Mus musculus: one gene and its partner. Each later gene encodes a partner of the first gene's protein in a complex. Links are inferred from orthologs where the notes say so. Each region holds a gene or a part of one and is shown in the gene's direction. Other genes may lie near its edges.

Region 1 (2,643 bases):
TCTGATGAGAAACTAGATGAGCATATTGCCTACCTCCACTTGCTGGGCATAGCAGGAATCTCAGACCATGATTTGATGTTCACCCGTGATCTGTCTGTTAAAGAAGAGCTTGACATGCTAGAAGACTCTCAGTACATTCATCAGAGAGTTCAAAAAGCTCAATTCCTTGTTGAATCTGAGTCTCAAAATACAGTGCAAAGACAAACGACTGGAATTGAGGAGACCTGGCTCAAAGCACAGGAATTTCCTTCTCAACAGAAGAAGAAAGGTACTGAATTCAACAAACCTCAGCCCCAGCCTTCACGCCTTCTGACTAAACCTACCCAGGTAGAGGCTATCAGTTCTCAAATGGCCAGTATAACCATTTGCGATCAGTCTGCAGAGAGTGAGCCCCAAGAGCACTCTGAGGTACATGATGTCACTTCACTGCAAGGTAGTCACCACTTCAACAGTACATCTGATGCTGGCACTATAGCTTCTTTACCCCAGGGGGCTGAAAGTATAGGCGAAGTTTCTACTGACTCTTTATTGAGCCCTGCAAAAGGTTTTGCAGCTGAAAATGATGCTATGCAGAAGAAGGGATTACAAGCATCACCTGGGCAAGAGGCCCCATCAGAGAACCTGGGAAGTTTTCATTATTTACCTAGAGAATCCAGCAAGGCCAGTCTTGGGCCAAATTTAGATCTACAGGATAGTGTGGTTTTATATCACCGCAGTCCCACAGCAAATGAAAACCAAAACCTAGAATCAGATGTACCCATGATTGAAATATCTGATGACTTGTCTGAACCTCCTAGCGCACTGCAGGGTGCTCAAGCAATCGAGGCCCAGTTGGAGTTGAAAGAGGATGACCCTTTAAAATCACCACCACAATATGCATGTGATTTCAATCTTTTCCTGGAAGACTCTGCAGACACTAGACAAAACCTCTCCAGCAAGTTTTTGGAACATGTTGAGAAAGAAAAAAGCTTGCAAAGCCCTGCAGCTAACTCCAGGGCAAAGTCAGCACTTACTCTCAGTTTGGATTCTTCTCCTAAGAGTGATGAAGAATCAGAAGTGATTAGTGTGAAAACCAAAAGCAAAACTAGAAGGATCCTCTCAGATGATGAAGATGAAGATGAAGAAGATGCTTTTAAAGGTAGTCATACAAATTCAATTAACATCTCTCCCTTTCCATTCTCATCTGTGAAACAATTTGATGCTTCAACTCCCCAAAGTGGCAGCAATCCATCTCGAAGGTTCTTTTCACCTAAAACACCAGGTGAAGTGAATACGTCCTTACATTCTAGGAGGTCCCTGGCTTCTAGGAGGTCTCTGATCAATGTGGTTTTAGATGATGTGGAAGATATGGAGGAAAGGCTTGATAACAGCAGCGAGGAGGAGAGTGAGCCAGGGCTTTCAGAAGAGAACAATGAAGAAGAAGCCTTAGCCTGCACAGAAGAGCAGCCTTCTGGGGCAACACTGGCTTCAGGAAACAAGTCCAGCAACTTGACCATGTCTGAGCCTACTTCTCCAGCCCCACAAAGCTCTCCCTGTGCTCCTGAACCTTCGTCAAGTGACCCTATGCCTGATCCTCCCCAGGATCTGGCAGTGGAGGCTGGTAATGACTATGAGAGTCTTGTAGCTCGTGGGAAAGAACTGAAAGAGTGCGGGAAGATACAGGAGGCTCTCAACTGCTTAGTTAAAGCACTTGATATAAAAAGTGCAGATCCTGAGGTCATGCTCATGACTTTAAGTTTGTATAAGCAGCTGAACATTTGAGAACTTTATAGCCTATTTCTTATGTCTAAAATGCAATTGAATATAAATGTTTTGTTCAGCAGTTCTTCCCTTGAATATTTCATTTTTTCCCCTTTAGGCATACTTTGCAAACTTTCAGAAGTGTTACCTAAAGTTTTGTGAAGCTGTTCTGGCTATTTTTACTGTGAAAAGGGCCATTTTGTCTGTTAGCTCAGTTCTGAAAATTAAAGTGCCTTTTCTCCAGAGTGTTTCCATTCATTTTCTTTCACAAGGTGGTAGACAGAAACTCTTTAGTTCCAATAAGCTCGTCATTTAGCATTCCAAATCTAAGATAGCCTTAATAATGTGCCGTTTGTGCTTCCAGCTTAGCTGCATACAGTACCTGTACTAGCATTCTTGGGCACTTGTAGCCTGCCCTGGAGTTGCTCTACCAACTGGTTAGCTATTCTTCACTTACTCTGGACTATGCTTTTCTTCAACCCAGTTATGTGGTGTGTGTGTGTGTGTGGGGGGGGTGTTCTTCAGTTTTTTGAGACAAAGTTTTACATAGCTCTGGCTGGCCTGGAACTCAGGGAGATAGCTCCACCTGCCTCTGCCTCCCTGGAGCTGGGATTAAGGATGTATAACACTATGTCCCACTTATACTGGTGTTTGGATGCTATCACATCCTCTCTTTTGATTGTTGACTACATAAGAATCCGATTCACCTTCAGAAACACCAAGTGCAGCATATGCTGTCACCAAAGATTTAGTGTTTACAATGTGCCTACTGGATATTGAGTATATCACACAGGCCTCTTGTTTAATCCTTACCATAACCTTTGAGGTGGAGGGTGGTGTTTTTGTGTTTGAACTGAAACATCTAAGACTCACTGTGACCTGCCCATGATGAATGACATAGTA
Region 2 (4,491 bases), on another chromosome or scaffold:
GGGAATGTATAAATTAACCATTCCCCCTCCCTTCCTCCCTCCTCCCTATTTTAAATGTAGATAGGGCGACCCTAGCCTTTTGAATTTGAAGGGCTGCTATCTCGGGCCCATTCTTTCCATCATCCTGTTTTGAATGACACTGAGCACGTATAGATTCTCTTATAAAAGCACCCCTAGGATGCTGGGCTCCTTTCTTCAAGCTGCTAGCTAATTTTGCATAGCAATTAGTACTGACTTCTCCAAGTCTGCAACCCAAACACCTCTCCAGAACGTTCCACAGTCCCTCCAAGGTCCAACTCTGCGCCATTAGATTTCAAACCAGAAGGCGAGGAACTTGCGTAATGATTAAATTCCCAATTTGTGTGAAGACACAATAATCTCTGACTACGCGTTAATTCCAACCTTAGGCCGCGACTGGGCAGCTAGGAGCCAGCATGTACGTCCTTTTAAAATCTATTCTACGTATTCACTGACCGCGCCGGGCCGGGCCACATGGTCCTCTCTCGCAGCCAGTCAGCTGTAGGCAGCAGATGGGATCATTTGCATTTTTCTTTTTAGACATTTTTTTTCCATCGGCAAATTAAAGGATTAAAAAAATTTTTTTTTCCGTTCTCATTGTTTACCAAAACCAGGCACGCAGCTTAAAAGTTGACTTGGGCTTTTCTTTTCCCTCCACCCCCACCCCAAGTCCCCGAAAGTTGGAGAACTGCGAGGGGTTGGTTTCTTATTTCTCAACTCCGACTCTGCAGTCCGGGAAACTAGGAGACGGTCGGTCTTAACTAACTCGGCGACTGGAGTCTCCCAGTTTTCCGCGCTGAGCCCCGTGGCTCTGAGTTGGTGGCATGAGGGTCCCCAAGCGCGTGCTTCGCTCCGCAGCCTCAAGCGGCAAAACTTGGGCTCTCGGAACTCAGGCTTTACGGGAGAGGGCGGCCACCCTGCCGGGGGAGTGGCCAGGGCTCCCCCAGAGCCCGGGGTCGCTCTCCAGTATACCCCCCCAACCACGAATCCATGCAGAACTGGAGGGGGGGCGCACCCCGAAGTCTTTGTGCCCGGCGTGGCACGGGAAGGTCCGTGCGATGGTGCGGCGCCACAGCCGAGCGCCCCAAAAGCGGGGGGCGCGGGCGGAAAAGACACGGCGCGTTGCCTCCCACCCCCACCCCCCGGGGTTAGAGAAAAAGTAGAGAAAGAGGCGCCGGGGCCACGCTCCAGCCCGGAGAGCACGTAGCCGAGAATGCCGCGGGGCGCTTTCCCGTGGGTGAGAGCCGCCCTGGTCCGCCGGCAGCCGGCGCGGGCCCACGTGGAGCCGCGCTGTGCAGGCCGAGCGCACCCGCCCCGCAGCGCGCCCCAGCTCCCCGCCGCGGTCGCTCACGCCCGAGCGCCGCCGCCGCCGCCGCCGCTGGTCCCGCGTGTGCCCCGCTGAGGGGGAGGGGCGGCGCGGTGGGGGCGGAGGGCTTGAGGTTCCACTGCAGCGGGGGCTCCTGTGTCCTTGTGCGGAAATGACACACGGAGTCCCGTCACGTCACGCGAGAGCGCAGCGCACGGACACACACAAAGAGAGGGGAAAATACACGGCGCCCGCCCGCCCGCCGCCCCCAGCCAGTCGGCGGGGCCGCCCCGGCCAGGCCCTGCGCGCTCGGCCCCCACTGCGGCCCGCGCGCCCGCCCCCCGCACGTGGCGCCCGAACTCGGCGCGGGTCCCGCTCCGCAAAGTAACAACTCTCGTCCCAGGTGAGTGTGGGCCCCGGTCGGGGCCGCCTGCGAGCGGCTCGCCGCCTCCGCGCGGGCTGGAAGGGGGAGCGGGCGCCCACGGGCTCGTCGCGCCCCATTGTGCCGCGCGCCCCTTTGTGCCCGCTCGGAACGCCGCGACTCCATGGCGTTCCGGGAGCACGCGCGCCGCGGCCAGGGAGGAGGAGGAGGGAGGGGAGGACGCACGGTGGAACGGTCCGCGCCGCCGCCGCCAGGCCGGCCCCACTCGCGCCGCGCGCCGGCTCTCCACCCCCGGCGGGCCGGCGATGGAGCGGCCGAGGGCCGCCGGGGAGCAACTGCGCGGCGCCGGAGCGCTCGCGTTCGACCGGCCTGTGGCGGCGATGGAGGGGTGTCAGAGGGAGCAGAAGGGCGGGGAGCCAGAGGCCGGAGAGCCGCCGCTCGGAGGGACGCTGCCCCGGGGAGGCAGCGGAGGGAGCGAGGCTGCCGGCGGCTGGGAGCGGGGTGCGGCGAGCCCCGCCGCCAGGGGGCGCGGCACCCTCCCGGGCCGTTCCACGGCGCTCCGTGGTTCCCGCTGCCCGGCTGGAGGCGGGTCCAGCGCGGCGCTCTGGGTGTGCACCCCAGCGAGCGCGAGGCCTTCCTGGCGGGCGGTGGAGCCGGGCCGGGGCGCTCGCCGCCCCTCGTGACTTGTGCCCGCCACGATCGACGTAATTTCCCACGCAGACTTGGCTCGGGCTGTGAGGCGCGGAGTTGTGAAGGCCTTGTGGGCTGGGACTCAACTCATCTGAGTTCTTTTTTTCTTTTTTTTTTAAGTTTGTCCTAAAGTAGAAGTTTGATCGCTCAGGTGGCCCGCTTGGGAGTATTTTGGAGGTGGAGGCCAACCAGAGATGCTCAGAATTAATGTTCACTGTTTGGAAGTCAGAGAACTTCCTTTTAGAAGTAACTTTTGAATGTTTTCCTACAAGTAACACGTCACTGAGTAGAGGGGAGGGTGCCAGAAATCTATAAAGACCCAGAAAACCCAGGCGAGTGGGGAACGTGTGGAAATGTCCCAGATAGAGGTTTTAGGTTTGTCTCTGTTTCGGTTCCATGCCTGCAGTTTTTCTCTTTTTGCGACTTTCCACTTTTAATTCATAGGTGTTTGGGTTTTGTTTTTAAGCTTCATTTTCGGTGTATGTGTTTTGACTGCATATATATGCGCCATATCCATGCCTGGTCTCCTAAGAGGTCAGAGGAGGGCATCGGATTTACAGATAGATGGTTGGGAGCAGCCACGTGGGTGATGGGAACACAACCCACGACCTCTGCAAGAGCCACAAGTGCTCTTAAACGCTGAGCCATCTCTCCAGCCCCTCGTTTTAGAGTTTCATGTGTAAACCTTACAGGACTTCAGCTTCCTCGAATACTGGGATTTAGCCAGGATTTTTTTGTTTTTTTGTTTTCCTTTTTTGAGACAGTCTCCTGTGGTCCCTGCTGGCCTCAGACTTTTTTGTTATATAGGCCTGCGTGATCCTGAACGCCTGTCAAGTTACAGGAGTTACATACTTGGGATTACAAGTATGTGCACTGCACCTAATTTTTGTGGTACTTGATCGAAATTACGACTTTAGTTACGGTAGGCAAACATTTTACCAACTAAGTTACATCCCCAGCCCTAAGAATTATTTTTGCATTTTTAAAAATCTAAACTTTTATATATATTCTCATGTGAGACCAAGACACACCAAGAACCACTTTGGGCTTTACTAGAGATGCCTTGTTTGTTTGTTTGTTTGTTTTAAGTCTACATTTCACTGTAGCTTTGAATGGCCTGGAGCCTGAGATTTAACAAGGCTGGCCTTGGAGATCCAGCTGCCTAAACCGACCAAATGCTAGGATTAAAGATCTGTCCCACCACACCTGGCATTTTGTTGTTGTTGTTTGGTCTTGATACCGAGTCCCTAAATTCTGTCCCGTCCTTGAATTGCTATGTAAACCAGGCTGGCCTCAAACTTAGAGATCTGACTGATCCTGCCTGTAGGGGGTGGAGGTGGGATGGGGGTGGGGGAAGGTATTAAAGGTGTCCACACCACCTGGCTTTTGTTGTTTTCTCAGACTGGGTCTCACTATGTATCCCATACTGGGATGGTCTTTTGGTTTCTCTGTAGACCAGGCTGCCCTAGAACTCAGGGATCCACCTACCTGCCATCTCCATCTCCGCTTTCTCCTATCAGTGTTGGAACCAAAAGAATGAACCACCATGACCATGTCAGAGATGCTGTTTTAGTGAAGTTAAACAGTAAAGTTAGCGTTCTTTCTCCACACACACAAGAAGTAAGACCAGTTAGCCACGAAGACAGAATACAGACTAGCCAGCATTCCAACCGTCTGTTAGAGATTGATAGGTTATCTGGGGACCCTTGGGGGCACCAAAGGTGGGGGCAGAATATTTAGGAACAGGAAAATTGGACTCAGCCCTGACAGAGGTTTGATTGGGTGAGGATTAAGCTCCTGTAGGAGACCCATCTACAGAACTGCCTAGAAATGCATTAGCACCTGTAATAATAATTTATACAAGAGACTAGGGAATGGCGTGTGTGTGTGTGTGTGTGTGTGTGTGTGTGTGTGTTAATTTTTATAAGTGAGACTATGCTTGCTATTCTAACCATTCTGTACCCACTATTGACATCTCTGTTTTAGAATTAGTTTTTGGAGTAGTAGAACTTTAGGACTCCTTGGTGTTTAGAGGGATATAGTCATGCTATCTTTTCTAGCCCTTGGCCAACCTGGAACTTGCTGTGCAAAACCA

Evidence for each region.
Region 2: the proteins of Ercc6l (region 1) and Bend3 are in contact, whole or in part, in a crystal structure (PDB 5JNO), measured with the Homo sapiens proteins. The link is inferred for Mus musculus from reciprocal best matches to the Homo sapiens genes ERCC6L and BEND3. Residues at the interface, in NP_060139.2 of Homo sapiens: Ala10, Glu11, Ala12, Leu13, Ser14, Pro15, Glu16, Ala18, Ala19, Tyr21, Leu22, Arg23, Lys26, Phe51, Pro52, Asn53, Glu54, Lys55; in NP_001073919.1 of Homo sapiens: Glu252, Gln255, Ile256, Gln259, Leu261, Asp265, Arg269, Val272, Gln273, Pro276, Phe279, Ser280, Phe335, Arg338, Phe339, Gln342, Glu346.

Annotation. Positions count from the first base shown.
Region 1 is NC_000086.7:102,142,297-102,144,939, reverse strand, and holds the end of Ercc6l (DNA excision repair protein ERCC-6-like), read left to right. Parts: coding exon 1-1,761; 3' UTR 1,762-2,120; downstream 2,121-2,643. UniProt on the Homo sapiens protein: DNA helicase that acts as a tension sensor that associates with catenated DNA which is stretched under tension until it is resolved during anaphase. Functions as ATP-dependent DNA translocase. Can promote Holliday junction branch migration (in vitro).
Region 2 is NC_000076.6:43,477,646-43,482,136, forward strand, and holds the start of Bend3 (BEN domain-containing protein 3), read left to right. Parts: upstream 1-1,494; 5' UTR 1,495-1,727; intron 1,728-4,491. UniProt on the Homo sapiens protein: Transcriptional repressor which associates with the NoRC (nucleolar remodeling complex) complex and plays a key role in repressing rDNA transcription.